Linked DNA regions of Stegostoma tigrinum. The protein of the gene in region 2 purifies or fractionates together with the protein of the main gene of each other region. This does not show direct contact. Links are inferred from orthologs where the notes say so. Each region holds a gene or a part of one and is shown on either strand. Other genes may lie near its edges.

What was found. Proteins that work in one complex are often made in the same cells at the same time.
Region 1: the proteins of igf2bp3 (region 2) and heterogeneous nuclear ribonucleoproteins A2/B1-like purify together in Homo sapiens (affinity purification with mass spectrometry; 4 studies listed by BioGRID and IntAct, with this or other methods). This does not show direct contact. The link is inferred for Stegostoma tigrinum from reciprocal best matches to the Homo sapiens genes IGF2BP3 and HNRNPA2B1.
Region 3: the proteins of igf2bp3 (region 2) and g3bp2a purify together in Homo sapiens (affinity purification with mass spectrometry; 3 studies listed by BioGRID and IntAct, with this or other methods). This does not show direct contact. The link is inferred for Stegostoma tigrinum from reciprocal best matches to the Homo sapiens genes IGF2BP3 and G3BP2.

Annotation. Positions count from the first base shown.
Region 1 is NC_081355.1:56,506,929-56,514,700, forward strand, and holds the start of heterogeneous nuclear ribonucleoproteins A2/B1-like, read right to left. Parts: upstream 3,002-7,772; 5' UTR 2,806-3,001; coding exon 2,800-2,805; intron 2,767-2,799; exon of another isoform or gene 1,942-2,766; intron 1-1,941. Other genes in the region: chromobox protein homolog 3-like, read left to right, coding at 4,939-4,990. UniProt on the Homo sapiens protein: Heterogeneous nuclear ribonucleoprotein (hnRNP) that associates with nascent pre-mRNAs, packaging them into hnRNP particles.
Region 2 is NC_081355.1:76,370,979-76,378,194, reverse strand, and holds the start of igf2bp3 (insulin-like growth factor 2 mRNA-binding protein 3), read left to right. Parts: upstream 1-4,213; 5' UTR 4,214-4,532; intron 4,533-4,538; exon of another isoform or gene 4,539-4,877; 5' UTR 4,878-4,887; coding exon 4,888-5,062; intron 5,063-6,075; coding exon 6,076-6,136; intron 6,137-7,216. UniProt on the Homo sapiens protein: RNA-binding factor that may recruit target transcripts to cytoplasmic protein-RNA complexes (mRNPs). This transcript 'caging' into mRNPs allows mRNA transport and transient storage.
Region 3 is NC_081354.1:2,799,196-2,807,145, reverse strand, and holds the start of g3bp2a (ras GTPase-activating protein-binding protein 2), read right to left. Parts: upstream 3,002-7,950; 5' UTR 2,858-3,001; intron 1-2,857.

The DNA of each region.
Region 1 (7,772 bases), about 20 Mb from region 2:
GCTCTTTACAAACATCTATGAAGAAGCATTTGCATTTATGCCACGCTATTCAAGACCACCGGGTCTCCCAAAGTGCCTTAGTCAAAGTTGATAGCCAGAGACTATTTCCCAGGGCAGAAATGGCTAGCACGAGGGGTCATAGTTTTAAGCTGGTTGGTGGAAAGTATAGAGGGGATGTCAGAGGCGGGTTCTTTACACAGAGAGTTGTGAGAGCATGGAATGCGTTGCCAGCAGCAGTTGTGGAAGCAAGGTCATTGGGGTCATTTAAGAGACTGCTGGACATGCATATGGACACAGAAATTTGAGGGTGCATACATGAGGATCAATGGTCGGCACAACATTGTGGGCTGAAGGGCCTGTTCTGTGCTGTACTGTTCTATGTTCTATGTTCTATTTGAAGTGTAGATCCTGTTGTAATGCAGGAAATTTGATAGCCAACTTACAGGCAAAGTTCTCAACATGTGATGACAACCAGATAGAACAGTACAGCACAGAACAGGCCCTTCAGCCCACGATGTCGTGCCGACCATTGATCCTCATGTATGCACCCTCAAATTTCTGTGACCATATGCATGTCCAGCAGTCTCTTAAATGACCCCAATGACCTTGCTTCCACAACTGCTGCTGGCAACGCATTCCACGCTCTCACAACTCTGTGTAAAGAACTTGCGTCTGACATCCCCTCTATACTTTCCTCCAACCAGCTTAAAACTATGACCCTTCGTGTTAGCCATTTCTGCCCTGGGAAATAGTCTCTGGCTATCAACTCTATCTATGCCTCTCGTTATACCTCAATTAGGTCCCCTCTCCTCCTTTTCTCCAATGAAAAAAAGTCCGAGCTCAGTCAACCTCTCTTCATAAGCCCTCCAGTAGAGGCAGCATCCTGGTAAACCTCCTCTGAACACTCTCCAAAGCATCCACATCTTTCCTATAATAGGGCGACCAGAACTGGACGCAGTATTCCAAGTGCAGTCTAACCAAAGTTTTATAGAGCTGCAACAAGATCTCACGACTCTTAAACTGAATCCCCCGTTAATGAAAGCCAAAACACCACATGCTTCCTTAACAACCCTGTCCACTTGGGTGGCCATTTTAAGGGATCTATGTATCTGCACACCAAGATCCCTCTGTTCCTCTACACTGCCAAGAATCCTATCCTTAATCCTGTACTCAGCTTTCAAATTCAACCTTCCAAAATGCATCACCTCACATTTATCCAGGTTGAACTCCATCTGCCACCTCTCAGCCCATCTCTGCATCCTGTCAATGTCCCGCTGCAGCCTACAACAGCCCTCTATACTGTCAACGACACCTCCGACCTTTGTGTCGTCTGCAAACTTGCTGACCCATCCTCCAAGTCATTAATAAGAATTACAAACAGTAGAGACCCAAGGACAGAGCCCTGTGGAACACCACTCACCACTGACTTACAGGCAGAATATTTTCCTTCTACTACCACTCGCTGTCTTCTGTTGGCCAGCCAATTCTGTATCCAGACAGCTAAGTTCCCCTGTATCCCATTCCTCCTTACCTTCTGAATGAGCCTACCATGGGAAACCTTATCAAATGCCTTGCTGAAGTCCATATACACCACATCCACATGTTTGTGATTTTGACAAAGAACGTATATTAACCAGGAGTAATTCTATGGTTGTCTCTCAAGAAAATACCCCACTTTATTTTCAAACATCTGACAGGACAGCCAGCACCTATTTAACATCACATTAAAAAAAGTGGTATCTCTGGCAGGTTAAGACTCCCCGCTGGAGCATCAGCCTGATGTGATGCACACAAGCCCTATAAATAGGACTTAAAGCCAGACCTGGGATTCCAAAGCAGGCATGTAAAATGCAACTCATTAAATACACAAATTTCTACTTTTGGTCTTCTATACAGTTCAATGTAACAAGATTAAGAGAACAGTGTTGTAATTCTACACACCTCAGCCCTCTGGCCACGGGGATTTACAACTTCAGTAGGAACTGCTGCTCATGTAGGGTGAATGTTGTCAGCACTTCTCAGGCATCAGTGAGAAGTGCATCATGGAGGCTTACAGTTGATGCAAAAACCCTCCAAACTACTGTTTTTGCACACCCCCCCCCCCCCAAATCTCCTGCAGTTTATTCTCTCTTGGTAGGTTTTTCTGATGCTTTTTAATCCAATCTATCTCAAGTCATCTTCCCCCAAGACGTTTCTGAAATCACCTTTCCTATACAAAAGAACCAATTTACCCACTTTACCTGTCACCTTCCAGGAAGGCTTTTTAGTCTCTACAATGATTCAGAACTGCATAAAACACTAAGTGCTCATTCTATAATTGCCTTCAGCAACTCCCCTGCAAAGACAAGTGTGTGTGTGCTGAATTTTTTTGGTATTGAAAAGATTCAAACCTTCTAGATGGTATAGTAAACGTAACGCAAATATGGAACGTTTGAGATTACCGTTTATTAAAAAATCGGGTTCAATCCTGAAATGTTAGTGAACATTCAAACTTCTCAAGAAGCAAGACAAGTCTCTCTTTAGATATCAACGGACGAGTTGACATAAAAAAACTGCTGTAAAATATCGAGAAAGACCCGAGAAGCGCAATATCCCCCATATATTTCACCTACACTCGACTCCTGCTTCCCAGTAGCAACGGTAAAGCCCGCAAACAGGCTGCGATTACCCACCATTTTCGGCGCGGCATCCCCATTTGCTTCTATCACCATAGGATCTCAAATCAAACCTTTCAAAATTGTACACTGAAAAAAATACGCTACGCCACCCTCCCCAACCCTCATTTTTTCTATCCCTTACCTCCATCCTGCTCGAAAAAATAATTTTTAAATAAAAATGCTATACTTCAACTCAAGCGCTTCGTAAACAACGCTATATCGATAAAAAATTGCGTTATATCTAAAGAAAAACGAGTAAACAGACAAGCTGTGACGCACAGCCTCCTCGACACAGCCACCACCGTCGCCGCTCAATTTTCTAGAACCTTCTCTCAGTCCTACAAAATGGCCGTTCGTTAGTCACGTGACGCCAAGTTGCCAACGGCAAATTTGGTGACGAAACCGGACGAGGATCGAAAAAGATTTTCCGAAAATAAAAGAAAATTTGTTTATAGTACAGATCTGAAAAATTATTTTTAAAAGAAGTATCACCCTTAATTGAACACACTAATTAAGCCTCAGGGGCTTCTAAGGGAAAAAGTCGAAACAGCTTCGGGTATGACGCAATTTAGAAATCGAATTTTTAAGTATATCGCAGACATTTTTGTTTCGTGGGACATTATCGTTTTTTCAGTCAATATTCGGTTGAATAGTTCAATACAATCTGCCAAAATAATTTCCTAAAAGTGATTCTTGGTCACGTGACGGGCGGGTGGGCTGGCTCCGAAATGATTAGTGTTTCGATAAGGACTGTATTTTTTTTATTTAAAAGATCTAGGTTTGGTTCTGTGCCTCGTAGGCGTGTACTCGTGAATAGTTTATGTTAAGTTATTCGATAAATTTTGGAAAACGGAGGGAGTGCTGGTTGGAGGTGTGCGCAAGCGCGTTGTGTCAGCGCGTGTTTTGGCGGGACCGAGTGAACCTCAGAGAGGGAGAGGGAGAGGGGGAAAAGAGAGAGGAAAAAAAAGTGGAAAAGAAAAATAGAGAGACAGAGGGCGGGCAGTCCGGACAGCCAGCGGAGCACATCAGGACTGAATTGGGCAGGTAGGGCAGGCAGCAGCTAGTGCGCCAGCTAGCCAGCCGATCAGTGCTTCACTCTTACTTCCATCCGCTGACTCGTAGTGAGCGCGGAGTGCGGGCCTGGTAGCACTGCAGAGCCGCTCGAGAGCAATCAACCAACAAGCTGATTTTTTTTTTAAAACTTCCATCTCAATCGAGTCGGGTACACCAAAATTATCTAGGCCCAAACTCCTGGCCAGTGGCGGGAGCGAACGGAAGTCCGTGTAACAATCCAAGGAGGCCGTGGTTCATTTGTTTTGGTCGTGAAGGTTTCTAGGACTTGTGAACTCTCTGCCTGCCCCTGTCGGGTGGGTGGCGAGGTCGGGTTTCAACCTGTAAACTGGGGGGAAATGCACCTTCTTTGATTCATAGACCTAAGAGATTGACATAAACTTTTGTTAACAATTGCCTTGGATTTTATCTTCTGTCGCTGTTCCTGCGCCGGTTATTTATTTAAGGTTGAGGTAATGAGTTAAAAGGTAGTTTAAATGAGACTCCAATTCCTTAATGTGCGGAAGTCTTTGTGTTTTAATACTGTAAATATCGGTGTTTAGTTATCAGTTTGTAACTGGCATTTTTTTGTGATTTAATAGGATCCTTGTATGTGGAAATTCAGGACTTGAACCTTAGCATTCTTACGAAGTGCGCATTCTTTATTTTTCATTATGAAACGATTCTTTGCTACTGTCGCATTTTTTTAGTCTGGTCGTTGTGGTATGAGGAGGGGGTTGGAAACTAGGAAGATGTAAAATGGTGACCTAGTGTTCCTTAATGTTAGATGTTTTATATATGTTAGATAATTTTGAATTCAAAGAGTAAGAGTAGTTTAATGTTCTTGGTTTTTTTTATTGCTGTACTTTAACTTTTTAAAATCTGGCTTAGAAGTTTGTTTTTTTAAAACAATTGGGATTATTAGATAGAAGTCTGTAATTTGAATCAAATGCTACACAAGAGCAAGTAATTACATTGGAATTGGTTTGTATTTTTGCTTTTGGAATGTTTATGTTCATATGACTGATCATGATTAGGTTGGTATAACCTTTGCCATCTTGCACTATGTATCCCTTTTCTATTTAAACGTATTTCTAATTTAAACACATTTTCAAATAGTTACTATCATGTTTACTCCAAAATGTAATGTTTGAAATGCTGACTTTATACATGTGAGCAATTGCTGATTATTCTTTCCTAGGGGCTTGAGTAGGCGGATACAAAGTAGAAGATGACCACGGTTGAAGATTCCTTTTTTTCTCCTATTAGCCTTGTTTCTACTAGTGAGTTAATCCATGTTTACAAATAATAAAAAGAAAATGCATCATGTTATATCCCATTTACAGTATTTAGCCATTTGACCATATTTAAATTAACAAATTAAAATTTGTTCATATACTCCTAGGCCCCAAACAATGAAAATCTGAGTTCCTGTTGTGGTCCCAGGTGTGCCATTCTGACTTCAGAATGAGGTTAACAATTTATCTTGGGACACAGACTTTTCAACACACAATTGACACTCTTCAGCAGATAGTTATTGTGCCACTTGTGATGTTGGAGTTGATTAAAAGAGTTACAAAATGGCAGATTTTTATAATTGTGAATTAAGGATCTGCTGAAATCAAACAAAAAAAAACTTCAAATTCTCATAGTCAGCAGCTGGATAAGGACCCTGCATAGAGCTAGTAAGTGGGGAATATCATGGATGTGTTCAGTGGAGCTAGGAAAAAAATGCTCATTTATATATTAGATTTGTTATTGGAACCTAAATATGCTAAATATCCTTGCAGTAATGTGTCTAACAAAAACATCTTGTGAAATATTTGTCTGAAGTTGCAAGCTTCTGCAAATATGCTCTCCTAACTTCTATCTTGACAGTAAAGCAACTTCTGCAATGTGGTGGTACGTTACAGTTTACTCCATGCTTGGGTTGTTACGATAAAATGCACTCCTGTGTGCATTTTGTAGTTTGGAGGTGTGAATGATAGGCACATGATGGTAGCGGCTCCAAAGTTCTTTCCATTACAGGGCTGACGAGGAGTCTTTCCCATTCTAACTGCTTGTTGGTGTATGCTGCTGGGATTTAAGCAAGTAATGCTGCTAATGTCCCAAAGGACCATAAAGCTGCTCCCTCATTAGAGAAAGGTGACTGATAGGTGACTTTAGCTTGGGTCACTATGTATTCGTGACCTTAACCATTGTGGAAATTGAACGAAGATGGTGTTGTTCTCTATCACATATCAGCCATCCAACCAAGTGAGCTAACATACTCTCTGGAGAAATTTACAGGGTGACATTCAATCTGTTTGGCCATTTTATGATTATTCCTTTCTTAGTCATTTAAGTTCTGGTGGGATCATTGAAGCTAGGATTTCTAGCCTAGAGGCAGAAATGCCACCCATTCCACCATGTTTACCTCCTTTGAAAGCTGTACCTAGTTTTGGACTGAATTCAGCAGTGAAACTCTTCTCCACTTGCCCATTTTACTTTTGTACCGTGAAGTTCTAAACTGTAGTCAAAAAAATGTCATTGTGAATAATGGAAATCTGAAATTTAGATCTGCGTATTTTATAAGTTGTTTGTTTCGCAGCAAGATTACTTTAAATCCCTTCTACCCAAGTATGGCCAATACTAAAAACAAAAGTTTGCTACTGTAATTTCATAAAATGTGAATGATACAATTGAATGATTATACTTGGCTATGGAATCAACTGTTGACAAACCAGCATTTAATATTTTCTCATTATTGCACTTTTTTTTGTTGAACAGAAGGCAGATAAATTTATTACCTACCCAATTCCTTCACAACTCAGTTTAAATTAGTTTTTAAAACTTGAAGGGATAGGAGTGTTGTTGAAATGCTTTTGTTGGGTTTAATCATTAATGACAAAGTGATAATATTTATTGATTGTAGTAATGTTTTGATTTCAGGATACCCTATAGGGCATAAATTCTGACACTTTTTTTTCCTTTTTCCACTGCTACCCTCAATCTCTATTGCTAGTTTGCAGATTTGAAAATGCTTTCCTGTGTCTTGCTCAGACATTTATTTGTGTATGATCCTTAAAGTTTTATATTCACAAACTGGAAAAGGGAATTCCTAGCTAAACTTAATTTTGTTCCTTTTAATAATAATGTGCACACCAGGGTTGTGAAGACCTCATGCTCTTTGCCCATCTTAACCCAGAGGTACTCAAATCAGTCATATATTTTAGTACTGGCTATCTGAATGCACTTCTATCCTCAGACATCTGATTTGCCTGGTGCATCTATTTGATGCATGAGTGTATTGAGCCAGTGAAGAAATCTCTTCGCCATTTTCAAAAAAAAGTTAAGCGGTCACCAGGGTTTTTTTCACTCCCATTATTGTGTCTGTGTGTGAGATATTTGGACAGTCGTAAGGCAATAGTATTTTGTCCATTTTGGTTTTTAGATGGAAAGGAGAGGAACAGGCTTTGTAACTATTGCAAGGTAAATTGCAGCAAGTTATTTCTAAGTCACCTTCGTACTGAGTTAGCGAAATGGTTTTTAACTTTTTAAGACTGTGGCATCCTAGAGAAAGGGAATCTCTCAGATGAATTTAGTTCAGTTCCTGCTGAACGTATGTATGCATTCATACTTGTTTGCAACTCCTACTGCAATCAGTATTTGCCTGTATGGTCAGATTTTCCTCCTTAGCCCAGGGGCACTACCTGGAAACTTCTCATGCCAAGCACGAGAGAGATTGAAGCATTTTCTCTCCTATTTCCACATTGCTTAATTAAAGCAAATGCGCTAGCGTGGTGACTTAAAAAATAAAATGAAATTGTAGTTGGAATCTTAGTAGTTCAATAGGTTAGACAATCTCCTTTTGCATTTCAGAGTTTGGCAAACCTAAGATTGTTTAGATGACAATGCCATTTATTATCAAAAGGGTTAGTCTTTCATAACGGGCACAAATCCTTGTACATTGGCTTAGATTTTGATACTAATTCTATGGGAGTAATTGTGGACTCTTGACTTTTCACACCATCCCAATTGCTGTTGCAAATCTCTTTACGGTACTTCTAACCAATTGCAGGTGAC
Region 2 (7,216 bases):
CTTTTCAGAATTTTGTAATTATTATTAATAAAGCAGATATATTCAGTTTTAGGATTGGACAATATGCAATATCTCAAAGCATCTATTCAATTTTACAAAAGAACTGAACTTCTGGCTAATGGCATAATTTCACTGTTTTGGGTTTAACATTTTATCACAAATTCTAAAAATGATGTCAAAATGCATATTAAAACATTTCATAGCATCAGGATCACTTACAACTTATTCCTTATTCAAAGACTATTGAAAGACTTCATATATTGTGAATAGCTTTGGATCGTAATATTTTCATATTTTGAATCATTAAAGGCAGTGGTTTCATATCCTGCTTTTAAGCATTAATGTACAGTTTGATGCAAAATGCTACAGGTAGATAAGTTCAGAGTCATACAGCAAGGAAACAGACACTTTGGTCCAACTAGTCCACACCGAACATGTTTCCAACCTAAACTACTTACAACTACTGCATTTGGCTCACATCCCTGCAAACCTTTCCTATTCATGTACCCTTGTAACTGAACCTGCAACTACCACTTTCTCTGGAAATTCATTCATACAATATCCACTGTGGAAAAAAAAATGTTGACCCTCACGTTCTTTTTAAATCTTTCTCCTATCTTAAAAATGCCCCCTAGTTTTAAATTCCACCAGCCTAGAGAAAAGACCCTTGTTATTCTCCTTATCTATGCCCCCTCATGATTTTATAAATCCCACTAAGGTTACCCCTCAAACCTTCAAAGATCCAGTAAAAGCCTCAGTCTTCCCACTCTATTTTTATATCTCAAATCCTCCATTCCCGGCAACATCCTGGTAAATCTTTGTTGAAACCTCTCCAGTTTAATAATATCCTTCCTATAGCAGGGCCACCAGGACTGAACACAGTACTACAGAAGAGGCCTCACCAACGTTCTGTGTAACCTCAACATGACGTCCCAACTCCTATACTCAAAGATCCGAGCAATGAAGACAATTGATTATTCAGACTTTAACGTTCATTTTGATTTCAAAGCTCATACAGCTCAGAGAACATTTAAGCTGTCTTTCTCTTAAAAATGTATTAGAAGCTTGCATAATCTGGTTTATAGTGAACAATTAAATAATTCAACAATTCTGTAACCAATTAGCAAAAAAGTAAACTTAACTAGATAACAATATAATTCTTGATTAAAAAGATATGGTAAGAAAAGTAAAAGTCCCATTAGACAATGAAAGAATTATCAATTTTAGATAATGTTGATAATATTGTTTTGGACTAAATGCAAATCCTAATTTGAAGACTCCAATATATAAAGACATGATCCTCTGTTAATTTCATGCAGTTGTTTTAGTTCTAATTCTTGAAAACAAAACAATCTAATTTGAAGCTGTTTAGACTTAAAACTAGTTCATGTAGTTAACAATGTACTAGTCACATTGTGTTTACATGCCCAGACAATAATTTAGAAATGTTATTTCACAACTTTAGTTGCATTCTAACTGTTTTATGTTTTGACAGAAAAAAAGGAGGCACAAAGGAAATGGAAAGAACATAATCTGATTTTTATTTTTGTGAAGAATATTCCAAGTAACTTTTAAATTACTTTTCCATCAGATTCTTTGGAAACATTGCCTAATGTTATGAATTTTGTTTGAAATATTTCAATAAGCTACAATTATTTGCTTTGTCTAAATATAGGTTACATTTTTCAATAGTATTGAAAACAAATATCACAGTATACAATGCTTTAAAATGACAAAATTAATTTACTTTTGTACTGAATTTATGACGAAGTTACACTTTAATATATATTAATCTATTAAATCCATTGTCAAAATTACCTTGGCTATAATAAATTTGTGCAATATTTTAAAATCACATTATTTGCAAATATTTTGATCAGGTTTAAGCTTCACTGTTATTTATCCTTGTAGAGCGATGGTTTTACTCAACAATAAATAATTTCAAAGTAGTTAAGGAATTGCATTTGTATTGTTAATCGTGACTACAATATCTACACAAAGAATGAAATGTGCAACGTGCAGAACAAAGTGAGATTTGCTCTCACAAAAAGTAAGTTGATCAATTCAACATGTTTTTAATACATATTTAGAAGATAAAGAACAAAAACCAATACCCTATAAGCTTTTCAAAAGCGTTGAAATGGTTATAGAGGTGGCATTGCTTTATATTTTCTTAAATCTATGCGGCTCTCTGTAGAACCACTGATGTTTTAATTTGAAAACAAAACTTCAAATGTGTTTATTCAAAGTACTTTACCATTTTTAATGTATGTTTTCATGTTAAAACATTAAATATTAAAACAGTACAACATATAGGAATTTAAGATAATTGAAAAGTCAACATAAAGACTTTTTACTGAAACATCGAGTTGTTATTTGACATTTTGTTTGAAGATGGAAACTTATAATAACATAGTGCACTTTAACTGGTAATAAGAATTTAGTTTGACATCAGTTTTTCATAATTTCAAAATGAACAACATTGACACCTCTGGTATTTGAAATTGATTTAAGTAGAGGTGGATGATTATGGGGAATGCAGACGAAGCTTTAAGGAACAGTAGAAAGTGTGAACTTTGTGGTAGAACAAAGATTTGAAGCATATCACAACTATAATAGAACATATTAACTTAGTTTTTCTCTTCTGCCACAAAATAAGTTCCAAAGTGTCAGATCTTGGATATAATAATCTGTTCATAATGTATTATTTCTTTAACAACAATTTTTGGGAGTTTTTTTAAACAATGAAGCTCTTATAAAGCCCTACGTTCTATTTGCCCCTCCCCCAGTTTGAATTTTCATTTAAAGTGAAGCTTTGGTTATTGAATTGACCATTTAAACATGGTAATCAAATTAAATGGATATTTTAATCTTTCAGTAAGCTGGTAAAAGATATATGAAACAATTTATTTACTTACACCACACAGTAATTTCCCCCAATGAGTCCAAATGGGACGGCACACCACACGATTAAAAATTAATACTCAACCGAATCACCAAATTAACATTTTCTTTTTCCTTGGCTAGTCCGATTATCAATCGCACTAAACACGCAGCAAATACAATTTTAAAAGTATTTTGTAAATCAATTACATCAATAAATACGGCATATATTTGACTTCAATCCACATACTTCAATTTCCCGAAGATTGCTATAACGTTCCAGGAATTATAATCGGCAAACGGAACATGAAATCGGAACAAAAGATTTTGAAGCAGTTAACGTAAACGAAATAGCACGATTAACTTCAGTTTTGAATTTATGAAAACGTGCTAAGCGCTCGTACGCTACCTATCATCTAGTCCATTAAAGTGGACAGCTAGAGTCATGAGGAATGATCGCAAGGTACAACTTCATTCACTAACGATTATTTTATTTTTATAACGAAATTACCCCCTCGTGCCGGGCGGGGAAATTATTAGATGCGTCCGTAAAGAGCGAAGTGGCTTTGCACAATTTTTAAATCGACAATACCGAACTTCACACATACGCGATTGCCAACAAAGGAGACGGGTTTGAATCTCGGATGTAGATTTTCGTTCGTTCTGAACACTTCCGCCAATAAAGTTGTGCAATGTGAATTTAGTTAGCTATTTTTCCAAAAAACGAAAACGTTCTTTTTTTAAGAAGAACTGCGCCAACGACAGCTCAGCACGAGTTATTTTAAAAAATAATTCTGATACGCTTTTATTTTTTTTAACAAAACTTGCCTGTGGGCACACATTTAAACAAACGACCTTTGAAAATAAATCAAAGACCTGGAGTTCCAATATTTTATAGAGGTAACGTCGCCTCGTGTGAACAATAGTGGAGTTGCCGAATAGCGTAAGAAAACGTCGAAACTGCTACAACTTTCAAAAGATCACTTTCGACCAACATTTCAATGAGATAATGTAATTACCCATTCAGTGGATCCCATCAACCAACCAAAATCTGGGGGTAAAAACGTCGTTTAATAATAAAAGAACAACGTCTCCAATAATAAAGGAGCAGCCATTGCAACGTATCGGTTTTGGCACGACCCGATTAGACATCTCCTGAACACGGTATCGTTACCACATTATTCAGCTTTAAACAGGGAGGGGACGCAAAAGATGGGCAGATCACAGCGAAAATGCACTCCCTCCCCCGCCTCGCCTCACACAACCAGCCCCAACCCCCACCGATCAACCAGACCAATAACTCGCATAACCATCACCACATTGGGGAACTGCAACAGTCAGGAGAATTTTCGCGCCATCGCCCTTGTAAATGGCAGCCTGATCTAAGCCAATGAATGAAATTTGCAGGCAGAGAGGGAGAGAGAGCAAAAAAAACTTGGTCAATGGTAGCGAGGCTGGAGACGCTTGATAGGATCCTAGAGTCAAGCTGTGTGCGAATGAGAAGACGGAAAATGGGAAGAGGGAAAAAAATGGAGAGCGCTCCAAACTACTATTATTCCACAATCAATATGTTTCTCGGATTCTTGGAGTACAGCTCGTCCCTCCCTCCGTTTCTCTCCCAGTATCATTGAATAGCTGGCATTCCTCACGTGAGAAGTTGATATTAGTTTGACCACGTGGCTCATTCAGCCGGAATATTCGGGGATTTTTTGGAGCTGCATTTTATTCAGAGGCGGTGCTAGTAGTAACGTAGTGTGACATTTTCACAGCCTGTTTGCGAAAGGGGTTTTGGGGGAAAGACAAAAAAATAGTTTTTTTCTCTCTCCGAAGCCCGCCATTCTAGACTGCTAATACTACTTCTGGGGATTTATTTTATCATCGCGTGTATTTTTTTTGTAAGGACTCTTCTCGCTCCCATCTTTATATTTAAATCGACCGATTATTTCTCCAAAGGGAAGATAAGGACGGAAGGATCTTTGTCTTTTTTTTTGCAGTTTTAGCAACATGAACAAGCTGTACATTGGGAATCTCACCGAAAACGTAACCACTGTGGACTTGGAAAGTCTTTTCAAGGAATGGAAGATTCCCTTCACTGGACAGTTTCTGGTGAAATCTGGTTATGCATTTGTCGATTGCCCAGATGATAACTGTGCTATGAAGGCGATAGATACTCTGTCAGGTAAGCGAGTTAATCCCTTGTAGTCTAATATTACCTCAAGTTTTGAAACAAACAGTCGTGAACCTTGTTTGGTGGGAGGCCTAAGGCAGCTCCTTGCGCACCAGTTTCGCACAAATCGACTGGGGGCGCGGGCGAGACGAAGCTGCTTACACCCGTGTGTTTTGCAAATATCCACTCCTCGTATCTACACCTAAACTGGATTTTCTTGTGACGTTCGCACAGAAATTGGGTTTCTTTTTAACCTAATCTAAATAACATTTGGAACCCCCACCCGTTATTCCTCTGCATCTGCACGCGGTCTTTTCTTTCCCCCATTGAATTGTTACACTTCAAGCGTTCAGTGGATTGACAGTAACTATACGGGGATGCATTCTGTACAGGATTCTTTAATTTGTCAACTCTTTATTGATCTTGTGTAATTGGGCTGGGGTCGGAGAATTCGGCCCGTGTTGTTGTACCTTCTTGGTGAGAGTAGGCCTTTAATAACTCCAGCGGCAGCTCGGAGCCATCATTCAAATCAGTGCGCACCGGGAAAGGAATACGCACTTCAAATCTTATACTTCTGACAGAAATAAAGACAAATGAAAGCTCACTATCCGAAAACTATTGACAATATCAATTTTTTTTTCATTCGTTCCGTCCCCCAGCGCGAACGCATTTGTAGTCGGCCATACTGAGTCCCAAAAGTGTCCTTTAGCACTCGACCACTAGAAAAATGGCTGAGAATTAGAGCACAGCAATTGAGTTCACGTTTTCTTAAAAAAAAATTTCAAATTGTACTTGTTCATATCAGTTTTGTGACTACAGTTGACCGACTCCTTTACGTTCTACGCCGAACTTTCTTGTCGACACTGTTCCGAGATTTGTAACATAGTTGCCCAGCAAGTTGTTGTTCAACTGCAAACCTAACGCTTAAGATCAACAGAAGATAATTAAAAATAATCTTGGCTGAACGGTCGATTTTAAACGTTTTCAAGTGCTTAATACGCATTGTATTTTGTGCTTTGCTTCAGGTAAAGTTGAGCTGCATGGGAAATCTATAGAAGTGGAGCACTCCGTTCCTAAACGACAAAGGTAAAAGAAACTTTAATTCGTATCAGATTTCTTTCCGATCAGAGAGAATTAGACTACAACTGACTAATTAGCGATTATATCTGTTTGGAATTCAAGGTTATCTTAAACCCTACGAGTCTCTGGGATCCGTCTACTTAAGTTAGAAACTAATTACCGTTTGAATCTCGGATACTTTTTTTAAATGTCCCTTTGTACTTTTGTTTTGGTTTCTAGTTGAATTCTTTTATTTCTTTTATATATCACTGGAGTATTTGATCAAAAATATTTTATTTGAGAAGACACCAGAACACACTTCTAGTTTTAAAACGAGACCTGGTGCAGTGTTTTTTGAGAAGTTTGGGCGTCAGCAGGAAATGATCTGAGATGCTTTGCATCATGCTAATCGACAAACACGTGAGGAGCTCTCAATTTAAGAGCCAACAAAACGAAAATCACAATTCAATGTTTCCTCTATTGTCCACGAAATGTAAGAGATCATTTGATAGGGAAGGGAATTAATTCTTGTGTATTTGTTGCTTCACGTGAACCCTAATGTGCAATCGATTGTTCATCGATCTTAAAACTGTGCATTAAGATTATTCAAAAATGTTGTTACCAAAATATATAATTGATATTGTATGGAGTGTTGAGGTTAAACATCAATATTTCACTCTAAGGCTAATTTGACAGTTCTAAAACAGGATTTAATAGCTTTAGAAAGCAATGCCAACTGTTGGCTTTTTAAAATAAAGATCACTATTGGTTTGAACGTTCCATATGGATTGATAGAAGTTGAATTGTTTGTCACAGGATGCTTTTGTAATACAAAAATTACTAGGTTAGTTTTTGACCTATTTCCTCACCTGGCTGGCTTCAAGTTTCTCAGTAGAAAAAACAAACTTTTGAGGACCAGACTTAAAATGAGATTTGATTTCATTCACTCTTCAAAAGATGCCTCCATTCTTTGTGCTTCAGCTTTTGGTTTAATGTAACTTTACAGATTTACATGGAGTGTCATGAGGTTACGTCTGAAGGTTGTTGAAAATGCTACATTTGTGTGTGAGAGAGAGAAATGCTTGAATGGGCAAAATTTGGCATGGG
Region 3 (7,950 bases), on a different chromosome or scaffold from region 2:
ACGCTAGTGTCAAATAAGCATAAATAATCACCACTACATTCTCCCACTCTCACCTGACAACCAGCCCAAAAAGACATTAGAAATGAAGTAAGCGAGCAAGTACGATACAAATGTCCAACTTGTATCATGTAAACCACGAAACGGGAACATAAATGTCACAACTATGCAGCCCCCAGCAACACTGCAATTTCTCAAAGGGCAAATCTAAATTAGATTGTTTTTGAATTCAAAAACAATCTAATATGAATTAATGAACAATGTGGTACTGCGGTCATACACAATTTTGAATCATTTCAGTTATGAAACTTTGAATTATAGGTCCTCTGAGCTAAATATTTGTATTTTAGCAACAACCTTTCTCACACTTTATTCCAACACCTTCCATGACTTCAGTCCATAAAGATAGCTTTTTGACAACATGGCAACATGTACCGTCAAAACGAAATGATGCAAGGAAAGAGCAGATTATATCAACTGAACCATAGAGCAGGACATCAATTTTGAACGTGTCCACGTACGTGAAGAATATACATACATGAATATGCTTGCGTTTTACCTCCTGACTAACAACACACCAAGAGGGTGCACATCGGTGATCTCATTCTGTCAGTGAAGCCCCGATCTTAAAGCTAGGGTTTAAAACACACTCTCAGAAAACAGTTAGTAAACTTGAACAAAATGTGGTCAACTCATTGGAAGCCTTGGTCAAACATGTTACCCGATCATTTTGAAATAAGTTGCAATGTTTAAATTATTTTAATCTGATTACTGAGTAGGGTTGAGTATAGCTCCATTACTTCAGCAAATAAATTTACCCTTGCTTATAAATTTATGGAAATAATAACATCACTAAGAGCTTTTTTACTTTTCACTGCTGTGACTGAGAGAGAAGTGAGTACCTCAGCATTAGCAGTCTGAAGGAGAGAAACATTCAACATTTGTGTTGCATTGTAAATGTAGTAAAACATTTACATCCAGTGCAAAGGACCTTATTCAGATAATAAAAACTGGTCAAAAACAGGATTTTTTTCCTGGATATACCATCCAAGGAAATGCATTGCTGTTTCACACTAATCTCCCACACAACTTTTATTTCATAAGAACTAGGTGCAGGAGTAGGCCATTTAGCCTCTCGAGCCTGTTCTGCCAATCAATACAATCATGGCTGAGCTCATCTTGGCCTTCCCTGCCAGCTCTATGTAACTCTTTGACCCAGTACTAATCAAAAATCTGTCCATCTCCTCAAAACTATTTAGTGTCCTGGTGTCCACCTCACTCTGGAGTAGTGAATTCCACAGATTTGACAGTTCTTTGGGGAAGTAATTTCTCATCTGTTTTAAATGTGCCACCCTGTAGTCTCAAAACTATGACCTCTCATTCTCCAATGCACCACAACATCTGCTCTGTCTACTTTGTCAACCCACTGTAGCATCTTGTAAACCTCAATTAGATCATCTCTCATTCTTCTAAACTGCTCAATCTCTCTCCATAAAACAAACCCCTCATTTTTGGAATTAATGTGGTGAGCCTCCTACAAACAGCCTCTAATGAAATTACACCCTTCAAAGTATATAAAGAATCAGACTTTATGCAAGGCACCATTTTCCTTTAGGAGTTCTCCAATTAATTACATTTTGGCATTCTTTCCTTATGGCCTGATAATTTCTTGTTCCCTTTCCATGCCTCCATCAAAGCTTGTAAAGCACACTATTGTAATTATATGAGCCTCCAGCACTTCCTCTGGCAGCTCATGGCAAACGGGGTTAGATTAATTTAGGAAACTTGGTCAGCATGGACGAACTGGACTGAAGGGTCTGTTTCCATGCTGTATATCTCTATGACTCTACGAACATTGAAATAGGAGGCGGCCACTTGGCCTCTCAACAGGATTGTGGCAGATCTGATTACTCCACATTCCTGCCTAAACCTAAAAACCTTTTACTCCTCACCTTTCCACCTCTGCCTTCAATGTATTTAAAGGCTGTTTCCACCACCACCTCAGGAAGGGAGTTACTCTGACAGCTACACCTTGTCTGTTTTAAATGACAAGTTGTTCATTTTCAATCTAGTTTAGGATAATCCCAGAAAAGGAAACATCCTTTCCACATACAATCCGCCAAGACCGTTCAGGATCTCCGGGGGGGGGGGGGGGGGGGGGGGGGGGGTACTGGAGAGTCTGGGAGGGGGGGGGGTAAGACTGGAGAGGAGGGCAGGAATGGAGTGGGGGTTGTGAAGTGGGGGTGGAGGTGTGAAAGGGGGGTGGGGAGTGTTGGGTGTGGGGGATGTAGAGTGGGGGGGGTGAAGCGGAGGGGGGGTTGAAGCTGGGGGGCGGGGGGGGGTTGAAGCTGGGGGGGGTTGAAGCTGGGGGGGGTTGAAGCTGGGGGGGGTGGGGGGGGGGTTGAAGCTGGGGGGGGTTGAAGCTGGGGGGTGGGGGGGGTTGAAGCTGGGGGGGGGTTGAAGCTGGGGGGGGTGGGGGGGGGGTTGAAGCAGGGGGGAGGGGGGGATGAAGCGGGGGGGGTGGGGGGGGGATGAAGCGGGGGGGTGGGGGGGATGAAGCTGGGGGGTGGGGGGGGTTGAAGCTGGGGGGGGGTTGAAGCTGGGGGGGGTGGGGGGGGGATGAAGCGGGGGGGGTGGGGGGGATGAAGCGGGGGGGTGGGGGGGATGAAGCGGGGGGGGTGGGGGGGTTGAAGCGGGGGGGGTGGGGGGGGTTGAAGCTGGGGGGGGGGGGAGGAACGGATGATTCGGGGGAAGGTTTTGCTCAGGCTCTGGGCGCTAGATCAATGCAGGGAGCGGGCAGATTCGCGCAGAGGCGAGAGCCGGAAGGTTCCGGCCGGTTTCCCTCCCGCGCCCCCGGTACCTGCGGCTCCGGCTCCGGGAAAGAGGCGGCGGCTCCGAGCTCGGCCGTTACCGCGTGTGCGTCAGGAGGAAGTGTCCGGCAGCGCGGCGTCACACTCTAACCGGTCCCCCCCACCCCCAAACCGCCTCCTCCAAAGTCACATTCTATCCGCTTCCCCGCAGCGTCACACTACATCCGGTCCCCTCTGCCCCTTGCTCCCGCGTGTCTCACACGATGGGATTTCCTCTTACACCCCCCGGGTGTCACACTCTAACCAGCCCCCCCGGGTGTCACACTCTAACCTGCCCCCGGATGTCACACTCTAACCAGCCCCCGGGTGTCACACTCTAACCAGCCCCCGGGTGTCACACTCTAACCGGCCCCCGGGTGTCACACTCTAACCAGCCCCCCCGGGTGCCACACTCTAACCTGCCCCCCCGGGTGTCACACTCTAACCAGCCCCCGGGTGTCACACTCTAACCTGCCCCCGGATGTCACACTCTAACTAGCCCCCCCCGGGTGCCACACTCTAACCTGCCCCCGGATGTCACACTCTAACCAGCCCCCGGGTGTCACACTCTAACCTGCCCCCGGATGTCACACTCTAACCAGCCCCCCCCCGGGTGTCACACTCTAACCTGCCCCCCCCCGGGTGTCACACTCTAACCTGCCCCCCCCGGGTGCCACACTCTAACCTGCCCCCGGATGTCACACTCTAACCTGCCCCCCCCCGGGTGTCACACTCTAACCTGCCCCCGGATGTCACACTCTAACCTGCCCCCGGGTGTCACACTCTAACCTGCCCCCCCCCGGGTGTCACACTCTAACCTGCCCCCCCCGGGTGCCACACTCTAACCTGCCCCCGGATGTCACACTCTAACCTGCCCCCGGATGTCACACTCTAACCTGCCCCCCCCCCGGGTGTCACACTCTAACCTGCCCCCCCCCCCGGTAAATGTTTAACCTGAGGGGCGGGGCTGAGCGGTTTTGTCGGTTTCAGGCCCTTCGGCACTGGGATAGTTTTAGTGTGAGGCGGGGACGGAGCCAGGAGGATCCTTTTGGCCCCTTTATGGGAGGCGCAGTTCTGGACCAAACAAAAAAAATCAGAGGTTGGCGGAGGCCGCTCGGCCCATTGAGCCTGTCCCGCCATTCAGTGAGCTCACTTACCCCAGGCCCCTGCTGACTCCACCTTCAACATCGTTCTCCCTCCGGGCTGATCGCAAACCTTCACCTGTGGAGGTGCTCGTGTTGGACTGGCCGAGGCCAGAAGCCACGTGACACCAGCTTGGAGCCCAACAGATTTATTTCGTGTTCTGGAGTTAACCTGTTTAACTATAACCTGGTGTCGTGTAACTTCTGACCAAAACTGTGTGACCTTGACCGCGGTCCCGCCCTCTGGCCCACAATCAGTGAGGTTGGTAACTGCACCTCCTCCACAATAACACTCCACTCAATATCACTCAAATTCTTTGAAGAGGTAACAAGTAGGTTAGACCAGGGAAACCCAGTGGATGTTATCTATCTAGACTTCCAAAAGGCCTTTGATAAGGTGCCTGACGGGAGGCTGCTGAGTAAGGTGAGGGCCCATGGTGTTCGAGGTGAGCTGCTGGCTTGGATTGACGATTGGCTGTCTGACAGAAGGCAGAGTTGGGATAAAAGTCTCTTTTTTGGAATGGCAACCAGTGACAAGTGATGTCCCGCAGAGTTCAGTGTTGGGGCCACAGCTGTTCACTTTATATATTAATGATCTGGATGAAGGGTCTGGGGGCATTCTGGCGAAGTTTGCTGATGATACAAAGATAGGTGGACAGGCAGATAGTACTGAGGAGGTGGGGAGGCTGCAGAAAGATTTAGATAGTTTAGGAGAGTGGTCCCGGAAATGGCTGATGAAATTCAATGTGAGCAAATGTGAGATTTTACACTTTGGAAAAAAGAATACAGGCATGGACTATTTTCTAAACGGTGAGAAAATTCACAAAGCAGAAGTACAAAGGGATCTGGGAGTGTTGGTCCAGGATTCTATAAAAGTTAACTTGCAGGTAGAGTCCGTGATTAAGAAAGTGAATGTAGTGTTATCGTTTATCTCAAGAGGGTTGGAACATAAACGCTTAACTGGTCTTAACCCTGTACACCTACAGCTGCGTTGCAAATTTTGAACGAACACCATCTACAATTTTGCTGACAACACACCATAGTGGGATAGATATCTAACGAAGACGAATCAAAGTACAAAAGGACTTAGAGAGACTTTTATTTGATTGATTGATTTATTGTCACATGTACCAAAGTACACTGAAAAGTTCTAATTAAGACCGGTACAGGCAGATCACACCAAGCAAAGGATGTAGAGATTAACAAGACTTAGAGGCATACGGGCTACTTTATTTGAGTCGAAAGTCCATTCAACAGTCTGGTAAAGAAATAAGCTGTTTCTGAATCTGCTTCTGCGCGTGTTCAGGCTTCTGTATCTTCTGCCTGACAGAAGAGGCTGTAGGAGATCATTACTGGGCTGTGATGGGTCTTTGATGACGTTGGTCGCCTTTCTGCAGCAGTGAGCCGTGTAAATGGATGGAAGATTGGCTTCCATGATGGGCTGAGCTGTGCACATCCACCTTCTGTAGTTTGTTATGGTCCTGGGTAGAGCAGTTGCACCCAGACAAGATGCTTTCAGTGTCGCATCTGTAGAAGTTGGTGAGGGACATTATGGACATGTCAAATTTCCTGACCGCTTGTGGAAGAAGAGGCGTTCTTGTGCCTTTCTGACTGTCGCATCTATGTAGGAGGTCCAGGACAGGTTATCGGTTTTTGTGACTCCGAGGAACTTCTCGTTCCTTCTTTCTGAAGTTGATGATCAGTTCTTTAGTTTTGCAGACATTGAAAGACAGATTGTTTTCATCACGTCACCAAGAGGTCTGTCTCCCTTCTGCATTTTGACTCGTTGTTGTTAGATATGCGTCCCAGTTGACTGATGTCATCAGTGAACTTGTAGAAGGGAATTTTATTTGGAATTTGGCAACACAGTTGTAGGTGTACAGGGAGCACAGTAGAGGGCTGAGGCTGCATCCCGGGTCGGGGCGGGGGTGTGGGGCTTCAGTGTTGAGTGTTATTGTAGATAAGAGCTTATACATTTTAAAACAAAATATGAAGAAGTTGTTCATATTAGTTGCAGTTAGAATGCAGCTGGGTATCATTGAAATTGCATTGTGATTTGCAAAATGTAGAACACATAATAAGCCATCCAATATTCATATTAGGCAGAAATTCCAGCTGATAGTAACAGTGATAAAGTTCTACTCAAAAGAAATGGACTCATTTAGTCATTTGAGAAAATGAAGGTTGTCTAGAACTCTGATCTCCACATTCCCCAAAATTGCCATTTGGTGTATATCATAAACATTTCGGCACATATATCTGGATCATAAAGAAAATTTCTTTGTACTGCCAAGCGAAATAAAAAAGCCAGAATTGGAAATAAGTGAAAGAAACAGGGTGAGTGAGAGAAAGAGAAAGGGAGATAGAGAAAGGTGAAAGATAGGGTGTATTCAGGCATTCATTTTCTGGAAAACCAATAAAAATACTGAAATATATTAGAAACTATACTTTCATAGTAGAAAAATGACCTGTTTCCATGACCTATTCAGGTAACAATGTGCTGGGCCACAAAACTGGTTACTTCAATTCTTTTTAAACACCTGTTTCAAAGGCCATGCATGTTTCTTGGAAATGAGGAAAGGCATCAATTGTGACAGCGTGTGTAGAAAAGAATCTTGTTTTCAGACGGTATCGTTCCCTAATTTTTGAAGAGGAACGTTATTATATCATTAACAAAATTAAAATGAGTACTGTCAAGATCTATGTTCCATTATCATAGATGACAGCGTGTAAATTGGACTTTGTAGCTTCAAAAAATCCTTCCAAAAAGGGGGTCAATTTATTTCACAAGAATAAAATGTGACCTGCCGGTCTTGCAACAGGAGGATCTATTTCTCTTCGTTGAATGCTATGGGTAAAGAGGGTGGTAGTTGATGGGAAATGTTCATCCTGGAGACCAGTTACTAGTGGTGTACTGCAAGGGTCGGTGTTGGGTCCACTGCTGTTTGTCATTTTTATAAATGACCTGGATGAGGGCGTAGAAGGATGGGTTAGTAAATTTGCAGACGACACTAAGGTCGGTGGAGTTGTGGAGAGTGACGAAGGATGCTGTAGGTTGCAGAGAGACATAGATCAGTTGCAGAGCTGGGCTGAGAGGTGGCAAATGGAGTTTAATGCAGACAAGTGTGAGGTGATGCACTTTGGTAGGAGTAACCAGAAGGCAAAGTACTGGGCTAATGGTAAGATTCTTAGCAGTGTAGATGAGCAGAGAGATCTCGGTGTCCATGTACACAGATCCTTGAAAGTTGCCACCCAGGTTGACAGGGCTGTTAAGAAGGCATACAGTGTTTTAGCTTTGATTAATAGAGGGATCGAGTTCCGGAACCAAGAGGTTATGGTGAAGCTGTACAAAACTCTGGTGTGGCCGCACTTGGAGTATTGTGTACAGTTCTGGTCACCGCATTATAAGAAGGATGTGGAAGCTTTGGAAAGGGTGCAGAGGAGATTTACTAGGATGTTGCCTGGTATGGAGGGAAGGTCTTACGAGGAAAGGCTGAGGGATTTGAGGCTGTTTTCATTAGAGAGAAGAAGATTGAGAGGTGACTTAATTGAAACATATAAAATAATCAGAGGGTTAGATAGGGTGGACAGGGAGAGCCTTTTTCCTAGGATGGTGACAGTGAGCACGAGGGGGCATAGCTTTAAATTGAGGGGTGAAAGATATAGGACAGATGTCAGAGGTAGTTTCTTTACTCAGAGAGCAGTAAGGGAATGGAACGCTTTGCCTGCAACAGTAGTAGATTCGCCAACTTTAGGTACATTTAAGTCGTCATTGGATAAGCATATGGACGTACATGGAATAGTGTAGGTTAGATGGGCTTGAGATCGGTATGACAGGTCGGCACAACATCGAGGGCTGAAGGGCCTGTACTGTGCTGTAATGTTCTATGTTCTGTGAGGTGTAGTTACCTACCCTGACTGATTGTGGTCTGTGGGTCAGAAAGCTGAGGATCCAGTTGCAG